Bombyx mori: one gene and its partners. The protein of the gene in region 3 interacts with the protein of the main gene of each other region in a biochemical or structural test. Links are inferred from orthologs where the notes say so. Each region holds a gene or a part of one and is shown on either strand. Other genes may lie near its edges.

What was found.
Region 1: the proteins of general transcription factor IIF subunit 1 (region 3) and transcription initiation factor IIB form a complex in vitro, tested with the Homo sapiens proteins (3 studies listed by BioGRID and IntAct). The link is inferred for Bombyx mori from reciprocal best matches to the Homo sapiens genes GTF2F1 and GTF2B.
Region 2: the proteins of general transcription factor IIF subunit 1 (region 3) and Cdk9 form a complex in vitro, tested with the Homo sapiens proteins (2 studies listed by BioGRID, with this or other methods). The link is inferred for Bombyx mori from reciprocal best matches to the Homo sapiens genes GTF2F1 and CDK9.

What each region holds. Positions count from the first base shown.
Region 1 is NC_085110.1:3,772,207-3,778,142, forward strand, and holds the start of transcription initiation factor IIB, read right to left. Parts: upstream 3,882-5,936; 5' UTR 3,806-3,881; coding exon 3,723-3,805; intron 3,524-3,722; coding exon 3,413-3,523; intron 3,063-3,412; coding exon 2,762-3,062; intron 2,040-2,761; coding exon 1,683-2,039; intron 1,384-1,682; coding exon 1,222-1,383; 3' UTR 1-1,221. UniProt on the Homo sapiens protein: General transcription factor that plays a role in transcription initiation by RNA polymerase II (Pol II). Involved in the pre-initiation complex (PIC) formation and Pol II recruitment at promoter DNA.
Region 2 is NC_085130.1:9,750,591-9,756,217, reverse strand, and holds the start of Cdk9 (cyclin dependent kinase 9), read right to left. Parts: upstream 3,842-5,627; coding exon 3,157-3,841; intron 2,613-3,156; coding exon 2,527-2,612; intron 1,978-2,526; coding exon 1,840-1,977; intron 1,225-1,839; coding exon 1,145-1,224; intron 1-1,144. UniProt on the Homo sapiens protein: Protein kinase involved in the regulation of transcription.
Region 3 is NC_085121.1:15,702,740-15,706,576, reverse strand, and holds the end of general transcription factor IIF subunit 1, read left to right. Parts: intron 1-1,650; coding exon 1,651-1,852; 3' UTR 1,853-2,579; downstream 2,580-3,837. Other genes in the region: solute carrier family 22 member 3, read right to left, coding at 3,527-3,587. UniProt on the Homo sapiens protein: TFIIF is a general transcription initiation factor that binds to RNA polymerase II and helps to recruit it to the initiation complex in collaboration with TFIIB. It promotes transcription elongation.

The DNA of each region.
Region 1 (5,936 bases), on a different chromosome or scaffold from region 3:
CTGTATTTTCTTATTCTCTGAGCTATGCTTGGTATTAATTTTCCACAGAATGTACAATCAAATGTTTGTGCGATCTGTACCCAGTTCAACTCCTAAACTGGTAATGGCGTTACATCTATTCCACATTCACACTACATAATATACGCTTACCCTATTCTTTACTTATCACATGCTCATTTTTGCATTCACAATTACTAATAAACGATTTCCAAAATTCGAAATAACGCAACGGTATTATTTGTAAACCAAAAAATTTATAGACATTCGCCTCATAGATTATACTGAACATTTGAAGTTGGTAAGTTATGATGATAATTTTTTTCCAAGTTTTCATGACACCTTATGCTCTTGGAATTTACAAGCTTGAAAACACGATTGAGGGGTGAAAAGCTATGTGGTTTAAGCGACATATTTGCAATTTTACAGGAGAGCCACTTAACGTTTAAAATTTGGAAAAAATATCATAACAAAAAAACGTCTTCGGCTATTTGAATGGAGTAAACTAAATTAAAGTTCTAAAACATCGAATTGTTGATGATGCCAATACCAAATAAAACGGATCTTTAATTACATAGGTAAATGTCGGGTATTAAGCGAAATGTCCCTTAAAACAAATAGCCGTTCAGCCCTCTATATGAGTTTGAGTCCTTAGAATAAACAAAAACTACTTATATTTTATTGAAGAAATAATAGTTTTCTAATATGAAGGGGGCTGCAAAAGTGCATGGTGAGTTGAGTTATATATCACTTTTTAAAATTAATCAATAGTTATGTAAAAACGCAGTAGTCAGGACATTGCTAACTAAATATTGTAATGTACAAAAGCACCAATGTTATTTAATTAATTCTTATTAGCTCGAATTCTAGAAAATATCTTTGCAGTTCTGCAGCCAATGTTGGAATAGTATTTGTATCACTCATTATCGGTATATATACTCCTGTAATCAATACACTGAATTACCTCATTAAGAAGGTAGACAAGGATGAGTATGACATATTATTATTCATATTATGACAGTATCATTAGTGATCTAACTGATCAGTATAAAATATGTGAATAACATACTTATTTAAGGGGGCATATCTTTATGAGAATTCTTCTCAAGAAGAGTCATCCAGTTAGGACATATTAACAAACTATAACATTAAGAAAACTTACAAGATTTTTCAGACTGCTCACATACATTTTAAAGCAATTCTAATAGTACAAAAACATGTAGTCTACATCTGTGGTAGGAATTCAATAGGAGTTGCGAATTTGAAATCTTCAGGGAACAGTCTTGCTGCGGATGGATACATCAATTTGTAAGACTGTCGGATCGTAACGTCCGCAACACCAGCAATATCGCCGATCTCTTTCTGACTGCGTTTGTCTTCTGATGCCTGAAATAGTAATAAAATGTATATAATATCTATATAAACATGTGGTCACGAGTGACTTCCACAATAAAGGGGATGTACAATGCTTGATAAAAATCAAATACACAAAATTGTGTCAATTTGCATATTTACAGTAGGAATCCTGCCCATTTATGACATGAAGCAATCATGTTTTCAATATTGAGGATATTAAAATGTCAATTACAAATTGAATTAAATATTTCATTATTGTCATTAATTCCTTAAGCCTACAATGATGAAGAATAGGTTATAGTAGAATAGTAATAAATTTATTAATATACCTGTGAAGCCATATAAATGGCAGCTGCAGCAACTGAAATAGGACTTCTTCCAGACACTATGTCCAGCTCTCCAGCTTTCCTTGCGATATGTGTAGCTGCGCGTTGCACTGAATTTGGCAGACCCAAATTCGAGCAAAACCGAGACATAAAATCTGCTGTTGTAATGAGATCAACTGAAGTCTCCAGTGCTTTCAGAATCAATTTGAAACACCTTCCTATTTCTTTTTTACTTATCTTGCTGACGGCACAGATCTCTTTAAATGTACGTGGCACACCTTCTTGACGACAAGCAATGTAGAGGCAAGCTGAAGCTATAGCATCATTGGCACGACCCTTCAAGTTTTTACCGTCGTGAACCTGCAATATGATGGAATGCAATGCAATGAAAAATCTAATTTTTAAAATTCAACCTAGTAGGAATTTTACCTAAGAAAATTAAATTCTACTTTTATTAGAGGTTTTTTTTTTGTTATCCTTTCAAATTTTAGTGTGACTATTGAATTGTCTTGAACATTTCTGCTTCCAAATAGGTATTGTATTGAAAAATAAAAAAAAACCTTTAGAATTTGAGGTGCTATTCATTTGAATTCACCAGCTTAAAAGAGAGAACACATACAAAAGTGCTTAATCTCAAATGAGATGTGAAACATTTTCATATTTATGTATTATAATACTCTATGTATGTATGTATTAAAATATAGATATTGTTATGTAATCCTAGGTTTGTCTAATAAACATACTTAGTTTATACATAGTAAATATAGTATAACAATCAATGCACATACTTTCTTTTCTGCATCAACCAACAGAGAACGACTTAAATGTTAACTTAGCCAATATACATTAATATGCAAGAATCAGTACATAACATAAATAAATAATAAAAATAATAAAATAAACGATCAATTCATAAAAAATAACAAGTTTTTCTGTTGGCAATCTCAATATGATGCCATATCGACAGAATGCTGAATCTCTTGGTTGATTTAGGATAGCTATGGGAAAGATGGGATAATACTATTTTATGGCACAAAAGAGTAACATATTTAGATGTTTGGATACTAGAGTACTAAATTTACCTGTTTAAAAAGATTGTTTGCTCTGTCCACAATAGTTTTTGGAAGATTAATTCTATCCGCCATTGTGTTGATTTCTCGGAATGCATTGATTAAGGCTCTATCTGTGCTGCTTATGTTTCTTCTATTTTGATATTTGGAAACTCCAAAGCTGTCAAATGATGCATCTCCTCGTCCTGGCCCAATGATAGTTGACAAATCACCTCCAGATAAAAGTGGGTTTTCAGGACCACCAACACGAGACGGATCTACTCCAGACTTCTCATTGCTAAAAGTACGCCACTCCGAACCGACGTCTATGACTCTGCAAGGTAAGAATTTTTTTACTAAGAATGTAGCAATTTAGAATGTTTCTTTTGTCATTTTTATGTATCAACTCCAAAATTTTTCAAAGCACGAAAAATGCGTTTTGTGTATTAAATATTCTGTTCACTGTTACTTCAGAAAGTTCACTTAGCCTCCGTGAACTTCATAATATTCTTAAAGAATTCCCGTAACATTAATGTGAATGATATTCACAGTACAAATTGATTATATACCGACCTCGAAATATAGAAATCAAATGCGTCGCTATTGAAGTTGTTGTTACGACATGACAGTAGAATAGCGCGCGCGTTCCAACGTTTTGTTTCGCAAATAAAGGTACTAACTTACCTGTCTCCGACCACCAAACCGCATTCAGAACATATCATATCACCCGCTCTGTAATCCTCGATAAGGGGCGCATCAGGGTGAGCATAGCAAACCACTTTATTCGCCTCAATTCTAAAAACACAAACAAAAGTAGGTTCACAATCTAACAAGTAGAAATCGTATGCTATTTTAACGCGATTTTAAACACCACTTAAGTACTATCACCAACTTACTCATCACGAATATCTATCGTATTGCTTATCGGCTTTGTATAAATGAACTAAGTCTCGGTTTAAAGCTAATATAAATAAAATAACACAGAAAAACAGACCTCGATGTACTCGCCATGGTGGTCAGAAAACATAGACAATACTCCAAATATTTTTTTAATGTCGTTGTCAATTTGAATACCATAAACACAGTTTTGTTTTATTCTTTGATCTTGACAGGCATGTGACATAGTAAAGGGTATTAAATCATGCACAAAAATGAGTAAACATTATTAAAGTGAAGCAGCGCTTGTGTCTAGTTTTTCCCCAAGTATCGTACTTTATTAGTGAATTACTTTGATAATAATGTGGTTGTTCTAAATTTAATGTAGGAAATTATTAGTTTAACTGCTAGTAGTGCTGCCATGCCAACTTGGTTTCTCAAATGCAAGGGATATTCAACAGTATGAAATAGTAGATTACGCATGATCAAAGACAGGTCCATGATATTATATAGTTCTGTAATTAATATGATCAGTCTCGCGTGGAGCAAGGCTCCATGGGCCGGAGTTCTCAAGTATCAAATTATTTCATGTGGGACCCCATATGAAATAATTTCTTCTAAGAAAGCTGTTTGGACTATCGTTTCCCCTAATATCACAAATATTTTAAAATACTTTCGGGCTTACACAGAAACTTCATTTCTGTCTAGGTGTTATAAATCGCGATAGCGATAGCGCGGAGCGCTCTTAGATATAATTTTTTTAATTACATCTTATTAAATTTCTATCTTCTTTAGAAATAATTATGCAAATACGAAGTAATTTAAATTCCCTATCTCGGTTTTTTAACTACCTGACTTCTTATCTTTTTTTCAGTATGGCAATCAATCATTATCCTCTTGCGATCCCAATGATGGGATCCCCCTTATGAACCCAGCGTCGAGCTTATGTCAATGTATAATAATCATAAATGATTAATAAATACATACATACATGCACAAAGTAATTTTTATATTAAAATTTAAATTTTGGTACCTAAATAAAAAATGAAATGGGGCGGAATGAAATGAATTTGAATTCTCTGGAATTGTATCATCAGCCTGGATAAAACTGAATAAAATTAAATGAAATGAATCGATATAAAATGAAAAATAAAAAGGTTCCAGTAAAAGGAATTTACTGAGACTTATGTGAACTTTTTGAAAAAACTCGAGGAACTATGTTTGGCTATTTTAATTCATTTCTCAACATTTATGCACTTTTCCAAATGTATACATAATTTTATAACAATACACTCATTAAACAATACCGGAAATACCGGTGCTCACACAACAATCAGAAAAGCCTCCGGTTTTCACGGCATGGCCGATAGATGTCGCTATATTACTCTCCACCGGAATCAGAGTTTTCATTACCTATAAACTTTGCATTTTTTATGGCTTTTGCAGACGGACGAGCATAAGGCCACCTGGTGGTCAGTTATTGACGTCGCTCATGGACATCAGCAATGTCAGAACCACAACCAAGTCGATGCTTACCGGTAAGTACTCTCCATAAGGCTAGTTTGAAGAATGAAGTCATGGGGCTCGTGAAGCACGGTGAAGGAGAGTTCATTTCGCAGTCAGAAGATACGTGCCAAAAAAGATCTCTGGACATGCACCGCCGATGAGCGTACTTGTGCCCGATCCAATAATATTGTAATACTATCTTATTTACCAGATACCAAATTACACTAATAATTGGCAGCACAAACGAGTAGGATGGTCCCGTGCATGCTTTCATTATAAATACTTTACCCCTAATTAGGGATGGGTAGGAATAAATTGCAAAAGTGAAGGCAACATTTTTTATCCATAAATATTATTTTGCTTGTCCTGACTGACTGATTCATGTGCACTTAAGCCGCTGTGGTTGCAAACTTAAAAAATTGACACAATTTTGTATTCTAAGCTTTGTACTAAGTTTTTTTTTTTTAGAAATTTCACTCGTCAAGTTGTAAAATGTAAAGGGTAAAGGTTAAAGTTGTACCAAATAGCTGTAGAACTCGGCAAAGAGCTCGACGTGCAACTTAACCTAGTATACACCTGACCTTGCTCAGTTTTTTCTTACCGGGTGAGCTTCCGATCCGGTGGTAGATGCATTGCGAAGCAGCTACTCTTGATCTGTTAGGTCTCTTCTAGAGCCACTTGGGCAGCCGTTAGCAAATCCCATTCCTCCTGGCTGAGTCCACCTGTCCTAGTGAAATTGGAAAAGTCGTTACCCCTTAAATACCCCTAACTACCCCTAAAAAAGCGATGACCTCGCGAGGTGAAAAGCTACCTTACTACAAAAATT
Region 2 (5,627 bases), on a different chromosome or scaffold from region 3:
TTAAAAATTTGAATTGGCGCGTAACCGCAACGATGCAACGCAATAACTGCAACACGGTCTTCTTTAGGCGTCCACTCCATATTTAACAATGAGTAAAATTCTAAAAGTATACATTTTTATTTTCATGAACAATTCGAAATTCGAATTCAATAAACTTTTTTGTGGCCAGCATTCTAAAAGAAAAGTTTTTACTGTGTGACAATACTTATGACCTGACAAGGTATATACCGTCTTCGCATTAAAAGTGCACAATTTCCTAAAATATTCGAAATTGAGTTAATATACGTAAACATTTAGTATCACCAGCATTTTTCTCAAAAGAGGGTAGTCGTTTTTTTTTTTTAGTTTACCTATATTTTGATTACTATTAACAAAATTAATACATAATTTTATCTTAATGTAAAGACAGATAACGTGAACGGAAAAAAAAATTTTTGCAAAGATGATTAATATTAAAAACTAGCTGACCCGGCAGACTTTGTAGTGCCTCAATCTATAATTAAAAGACCTAAACTTTTGTATAAAATAAACTTAAACAAAATGAATCCGTCCGACGGGGGACGCATCAAAGAAAAAAACAAATTTGTTATTTTTATTTAATTCCGAGCATTTTCATATTTATTTACCTTTTAAACCTTCTCTGGACTTCCACGAATAATTCAAGACCAAAATTAGCCAAATCGGTCAAGCCGTTCTCGAGTTTTAGCGAGACTAACGAACAGCAATTCATTTATATATATAGATATAGAATAGATTGAGTTAATATGCGGAATCATTTGATACAAGCGAATATACCATCCCATTTTTGTTTTGTTTTTTTATTACTTAGACGGCTGAACGAACTCACAGCCCACCTGGTCTTAAGTGCTTACTGGAGCCAATAGACATCTACAACGTAAATGCACCACCCACCTTAAGATATAAGTTCTAAGGTCTCAGTATAGTTACAACGGCTGTCCCACCCTTCAAACCAAAACGCATTACTGCTTCACGACAGAAATAGGCAGGATGGTGGTACCTACCCGTGCGGACTCACAAGAGGTCCTTTCACCGGTAAAACCAGTTTCTTGTCTATCAACAATTAACATTAATAGAATAAATTCCTTGTAGAAATTGTAAGCTGGAAGTAAACTATTATACATACCGCTTGGCAGGATCTAACTGCAGCAGTTTGTCCAATAAGTCACAGCCGTAGGGATCCTTCACATATGGTTTCAGTCTTTCCTGTGTTTATATACAAATCTTAATTAGTATATAAGAGATGCTGGAATGAATATATACAGTATGCAGTGAAGAGAGAGCGGCATAGATGGGAAAATAAGTACACATATTGTTAAATGCCCACTGGACCAAACATCAAAATGTTCTCGACGCCCATCATGAGATATGAGATCTGAGTCTCAATAGTATTATTGCAGTGTGTGTTATGCAGTGTGCAGTGCAATAATAAACCGGCTGTTATTATGTATGTTCGTTTCTTTGCTCCTATATTCCGATATAACAATTATATAATGGCTGACAATGCTTTTGGTGGCTACGGTGATACAGAAATAAAATAACTAGTTGACAGTAGGCAAAAATACTTATTGTTTTTGTAAGAAAATATGTAATGAACTATGAAATGTTGACTTATGAGGCAGTGTGTTGAGCCTTGACCTTAAATATCATCTTGGAATGTGTGTTATCGGCCAAAGATAAAAAAAAAACTTTTTTTTTTTTCAAAAATGATTATGTCTTATTTCCACACTGCAATTGAGTACATAGGTACCCTGATTCTGACCAAACAGTCTTACTAAGCCAATAGATATAAAAATCTCAATGATTAAATTCCATATTCACCTTGACTTTCCTCTTTTGACCCTTTGGCAACTCCATTTTGTTGTAAAGATCCAAGTTCTCCACTCCGGGCCAGACATCAGGTGTACAGGAACCGCACAGCTGCGATATTAATATCAGCTGCTGCTGTTCTGTCGGACCCTGAAATATTACATTTCTAATCAAAGATCCATGGTAGACAAGAATTTTTTTTTTAACTGCTGATCTGTGGTGTATCGTCTGTCTTTCTGGAGCCTCAGCCTCTTAGTCTGTCATTTCTAAAACTATTCTATACATATTCTAAAAATAATAACATAAATATCTACAGAATATACAATTACAATAAAATTTATCAATTTGAAAAGAAATAATTCGTAGATTTTGTGACTCATTGTAAACCTTTATCTATGAACATCATTGAACCAATAAGTCTATCCAATAATACTCCATTAAATTTGGGGTTTATGGCATATAATTTGTGATCATTATAAAATTGCAAGTTTATTATTGAATAAACTCAATAGAGGGTTTGGTATTTTATGCTTTCCCATTACAAGAGCAGTGATTTTTGACTAGATAACACAAAAACTTATTACTGCATTTTTAAGCAAGGGCCCTGCATCTATTTCCTTTGACTAGATTTGCAAAAAAAACTAGATTAAACTGTAAAAGTAGTTTTAATCAGGTCGGTATCTTTGAAAAGTTTCAAACCTGCATGATCGGGGAGCGAGTCCACATTTCAGCCATGATACATCCGGCTCCCCACATGTCCACTGGTGGACCGTAGTTACGGTCACCTTTAATTAAATAAGGCATGTTAAAGCTGATACAACACACCACAGCTCATTTTTCATATATTTTTCTAAATGAGCAGACAAAGACAACTCACTATTACATGTTATTAAATGTTAGTTATAAGTTATTCAAAATCACTCCCACTATGAAAGATAACATAACACTTGTCTCCTTTAAACTAAAATGTATGACTGCTTCGATGCTTTAGATAAAAAAAAAAATGTTCTTGTAGGCAGATGAGCAGAAGGCTCATCTGATGGTGAGTGGTTGTAGCTTATGAACGTCAGCAATACTAGGAGCAAAGCCAAGCCGTTGCCTACCGTGAAGTACTCTCCACAAGCCTCGTTTGAAGAAAGACATGACGACAGACAGGCTCTCGGGAAACATCATGGAGGGGAGCTTACTTCAAGGCCTTACTACTTAGCAACAGGAGTTAGTAGAATAATGGTGCCCACTCATCCAAGCTCAATTTGTCTTATTACCAGAAATTATGGTTTACATAAAAAAACACTGTTCATTAATAAATAATATGTTTTAAAAACTCACCTAACAGCAATTCTGGAGGCCTATACCACAAAGTAACAACACGATTAGTATATTTATTGGCTTGTCCAGACTTTGCGACGCTGAATGCTCGAGCAAGTCCAAAGTCAGCCAGTTTTAATGTTCCATTCTTTGTTATTAGTACATTGGCAGCCTTCATGTCTCTGTGGAGTATTTTGTTGCTGTGTATGTAATAAAGTCCGTTCAGTAATTGTTGCATGACTTTTTTTATTTCGCCGAGACTGAACTTAACATTCACGTTCGATAGCAGGCCAGCTAGATCGTGTTCGCAGAAGTCGAACACCAAATAGAAAGTGGAACGGTATTTATTGTGAACCGTAGCCTTCGTGCGGCATATTTCTATCAAGTTTACAACGTTTTCGTGTTTTAAGAGCTGCAAGATCTTTATTTCCCGCAGGGCCGTGATCGGGAAACCCTCTTTTTCATTGTCCATTAAGACTTTTTTCATGGCAACAAACTTTTTGCTACTGTTTCTCGCGCGCGCTTTGAACACTTCACCGAATGTTCCTTGTCCGATTTTAGCTACTTTTTCGTATTTGGAAGACTCGTCGCAGAAGGGAAAGTCGAATTCCTCTATGTATTTCTCCTTTTCCCTCATGTTTAATATAGTTGAAGTTGTGCTTAAAACTGGTTGCGTGGGCTCCCGCGGAGCACTTACGCTTTGCATTTTGGACGTAATTTTGGCGGTTTTCAACGAACTTTTAGTATGAATATGATATTTTTAATTGTAGTGTAGACAAAGCTTTTAAAAAATTTCACATTAATTATGTTTTCACTTGGAAACGGCGAAATTTATTGATACCCTATCAGCAAAATCACAATAGGAAGAAGTGAAATGCAACACTGACTGAAGACTGTGACACTAATTAAAACGTCAACTGTCAATATCAATTTTTATTTTTTATTTATTGAATACGCAAAGAAAAGAGCCCAAATCAAAATGTTTTGTACCAAAGGCCAATGCCCGCCATATCTGTTGCTTAAAAAGTGAAGTAGAGTTAATTGAGGATTGGAATTAAATGAAATTAGATGTTGTTGATGGGCAGGTCCCCCTGCGCTGGTCAGACCAAATCCGTACCGCAAATACACTATCGTATTTGAGGTCATCTATAGCGTCGAGAATATATCGACGTATGGCGTAAGATAATCCACCGGAGAGATTCTGAAATCCCATAGAGGTCACGACCCACAGCATTGAAGATTTGGTCAATTGTCGGATGGCTAGAAATGAAACACACATTAAAACTTCGTAATTTAGTGGAAAAAGAAAATTTTGTAAGAACTTGAAAAGTCATACCCAGTGACTATTTCAAATATTTATGAGGTTTCGCATAGCGTTAAACGGTAAAATAGGCAGCGGTTATTACATATATTTTGGACTAAAACACTACCTATTGATCTACTCAATTTAACTTGGCTGAAGTTGTAACGAAAAAGTTAATTTAACAATAAAGTAAACATCCATGGTTTTAAATAACTTTATTAAGATGGTATGTACTGCTTTTCTTTGAATGTTATTCAGGTTACCACAATTTCTGTTAAAACAAATTAATTAATTTACAGTGTTTCTAAAATAAATGAAAATACAAAAAATCGACTAAAACGAAAGTATTGCTTGTAAGACATCTAAAATTGGTAAACTGTGAGTTTATAGGTTTTGATGTCAATGACCCTTAAACGTTGACATGAAAACGAATAAAGAGAAACGTCAATGTGTCATCGGAATTGATTTTTGTTTTTGTTACAAAAAGTTACACATTCACAACAATAGTAAAAGACGCTTCGAGGTAAATAACGCAATATTATACTAAAATTTGAATAAACTAAACATTAATTGAGTTTAATTGAGTTTAATACCTAGGCGCTTCGTGACAGAATTACTAAAGTAGGCCGACAAAAAGTGATTTCTTAAAAAAGTTTTATAAATTCTTTCTATCACTGCGTGTGCCGCTGATAAAACTATATGGACTAATACGAACACTAGTTATACGCCCATTTAAATTTACTGTAAATATATTTGAATAACTTTGGCGTATTATATTATTAATTAGAGATTAGTTATTAGATTAGTATTAGAGAAAATATTAGATTAGACTTTGATAATATTTATTATGTATATGTATTTATTGAAGTACGAGTATTTGTATCTATAAATATTATGTATGTTATATATACATATATTACTATGTTTAAGTTATATCACTATCACACTACACCTAACAAGGTTCATCTCTGCACCCTCCTAAGGTAGGTTGTCAGAGAATGCCTATGGCTTTAAGTCCGCCTTTATAAGTATATAAAGTTATAAATATATATTAATTCACGACACTCTTTCGATTTGTTACTGCCTCAAGAATAGCATCTAATTAGTACCTTCAAGTTTACGAGTTGTCTTAGAGGGTCTGTAAAGATAAACAATCTTACCTTTTTTACCATAGCTATCAAAGATGGCC
Region 3 (3,837 bases):
CAACTAGCTTATACTATAATAACACAATTAATTTACGTAAATGGTTATAACGTATTTAACAAATGTTTTTTTAATAAGCTTTTAAATTTAGCAAGTATAGGCTCACGTCTTATGTCCTCGGGTAAACTATTGAGTAAGTATGGAACACGTTTTTTTAACGTTCTATCTCCATAGTAATTTTGTACCTTGGGTATTTCAAATTTTCCTTTGGACATTGACCTTGTGCCAGTTTTATGTTGCACCAAGTTAGTTAAACGATCCTGTTTACTATGATTGTTTACAAGTAGAAGATATTTATGTTTCAGGCTAGCCGGTAAAATTTTACATATTTTATATAGTTTAGAGTAATCTCCTTTACATTGATTCTTTGTCTTTTTATTTACGAGTAATTTTAAAAATCTTGTTTGCATGATTCTATTTTATCTATGTATGTTTTAAATGTTAATCCATAGCAATCAAGAGCGTAACTTATTATGGAATCCACTAGTGCAAAATATAAACATTTTAGTATTGGCAATGGAACTTTAATACTTAAATAATAAAACTTTTCTAGTAATATTCTTAATTTTCCACATAAGTATTCTATGTGGGAATCCCAGGAAAAAGAGGTATCTATTTTTACTCCTAGGTATTTTACACAATTAACTTTTTCGATAGGATTACACGTGCAGTTAATTTTCTTATTGTGGAAGCAATCAAAGCTGTGGGCAATCAGAGGAGGCGGATTATCAATAGAACGTAAATACGGGGAGTGAATAATTATCATCTTTGTTTTGTCAGCGTTTAATATAATGCCGTTATCATGTGACCATTTAACTACCGCATCCACATCCTCTTGAACCCGGCGACACATTTCCGCGAGGTCGGTACTAGCGCTCAGAGTACAAAGGTCATCGGCAAACATGTGGGCGGAGCAGTGACGTAATACTCCACAGAGGCTATTTACGTGCATCAGGTAACACACGTTGGGAAACTGTATTAGAGAATAGGCCTCAGCGGTCAAAAATGGATTGGCTGTGCACTGGAGTCGCTTACGATTTATTATGACCTATGGTGACCATGGATGAGCCGATGCCAATGTAGCTTAGTGACAACCAACTAAAAATTAGTTATGAATCTTTTAATTTCGCGGTAAACAGAGATATTAATAAGCGTATAGTGACGTTAGAATTCTCATGTTCCTCATAAAATGAAATTCTTAGTCGCCCCTACCCTATTCTCCTAAACACGTAGCGTCGCCCTAATATATGGAACTTAAACACTAGGGTTGTCACTATATCACTATATATATAGTCATCTATATATATATCATCGGGCAAATTGTACGTATTAATACGCTTTTATTAGCTTCAGACGTATGTATGTTTGTAACGGAATCTTTGAACATGATTTTGACCCCCTTCAAAACGTCGGATTAACTCGAAATTTGGTATACTTATGAGAGACCTCGACAATTTAATATTTAAAAAATAATGAAAAAAATAATAATAGAAAAAATGAAAAATAAATAAGTTTACAATTAAAAAAAAATTTAAACTATTTTTAATTCAAATATATTAAAATTTATTTTCTACTTTTTATTTGAATTTTCTATAAAAGCGTGTTTTGTTAGTTTTTTTAAACTATATTTTTTTTGTTTTGTTTGTGCAGCGAATGCGGGGTGACGGAAGAGGCGGTGAGAAGGTACTTGGCGAGGAAGCCGATGACCACGACTGAGCTGCTCACCAAGTTCAAATCGAAACGCACCGGAGTCAGCAGCGAGCGCTTGGTCGAAACCATGACGCAGATACTGAAGAGGATCAACCCTTTGAAGCAGAACATCAACGGGAAAATGTACCTCAGCATTAAATGATCCCGCAATATATACATATATATATCGAGAGGCGAAAGGCTATTTAGTTGAATCCTTAGACTGCCGTGTAGGTCACCGGTGCCCTACGCGGCGCACTGAAGTAATTACGTGGTAGCACCTCTTGCGAATTTACACGGGTAGGTACCACCACCCGGCCTATTTCTGCCGTGAAGCAGTAATGTGGGCTGTGAGCTCGTCCACCCATATAAGAAAAAAAACAAGGGTTTCTGTTACTAAGCGGCTGGATTACCTAACTTTGCCTTGTTTTTTAATCTGTTTCTTAGTATCTTCGGATTCGTCTTCCCTAAAGTCTACTAGGTATTCCGGCGCTTTAGTAAGAAGATCGAAGACAGAAATCGACATAATTACTTTCGTGCGTCGCGTAGAGCGCCGGTGACCTACGCGGTAGTAGACGTGTTAAGCGACATTTCGTTTAATACACGACATTTACCTTTGTAATTAAAGGTCCGTTTTATTTGGTATTAGCATCAACAGTTCAATGTTTTTAATTAAACTTCAATTAAGTTTAATCCATTGAAATAGCCGAAGAAGTTTTTTTGTTATGATATTTTTTTTTCAAATTTAAAACTTTAAATGGTTCTCCTGTAAATTTCCAAAAATGTCTTTTAAACCAAATAAGCCTTTCACCCCTCGATTTGTTTTGTGAATACACGTTCTTGATTTTACGTAGGCATTTTTTAAATAAATAAAAGATGTAATTAACGTATTGATTGTTTTATTGAAAACATCGTAAATACTGTTGTTACGTACAGGAGGTTTTTGTTTGAGGCGATCGTGTAATTTTTGAAGTGAAAACTTCTTTAGAATCGTTGTGATTTCAAACCGGATGCAACGGAAAAAACGACAGGTAAGAGACACAAATACAAAAATGTGTAGGATGAAGCCAGCAAAGAATGAGACAGAAATATACATACTATTTAATACAGCGCCATCTGTGAGATTTTTTAATACTAACGTGTGTATGAAAGCTCTTGTAGTGAATTTAAATTTAGGATTATACGTGAAATTAAAATATCAATTCACAGAGGGCGCTACCTTACAATTATTTACTAATGACAAAATTTTACATATACTGAAGACGTTTAAGATAATTCTATTTTAATTTTGGAAGGTTTCACTTCTGCCACGTGTGAATTGCACACATCTTTTTTTTTTAATATATGTTTTTCTAAATAGGCAAATGAGCTCTCGGCTCAGTCATCATAAAGTAAATGAAACACACACACTGCCACAATAACAAATCTCACTCTGTTATAAGTGTTATAACACAAGAAGAAATCTTACTGTATGTTGAATATATGCTTGTTTATACAGGGTGTGTTAGAATCGTTTCTAAAAACAAACAGCGAAACCACAATGAAAAATATTTGATGATTTGCGTTTCCTTAGGTGATTTGGACTGCACGCAATGTAATATTTATTTATTAAGTTAACAAGATAAGATACAATAATAAATAAATCAATAAATATTTAATAACAATCACGCCACGTTAACTGGTCCCGTGCTAAGTTCGTAAAGAACTTGTGTTAATAACAAAGTTACGGCTGAAGATTTTTGAAGGCTCGGAAGGAAGGATTTTTATAATGAAGCTGTGATACATGTTCAGTTGTATCACACTTTTAGGGGAAATAAAACTATTTTTGTTTACATCTTTATTCAACAGATCTTCTTAAATGTGATAAGTCTTCTAATTCTTCATCATTTGCTGGTTTCCTGTGCAGAAAAGATATGAAATCAACACATTTTCTAAAGGCATCGTCTAACTAGACTTTATGAGTGCGATACCTTTCGTTAATATGTAAAAGTCTGCATTACTAAATACTTATTTCTATGATTAAATCTTTCGCTAATGTTTGATATGTTTTAGTTTTTCTGTACCTCTGATAGCGATATGCGATAGCCGATAATACTCGATTGATTAATTAAATTGGTAGGACCTTTTGTGAGTCCGCACGGGTAGGTA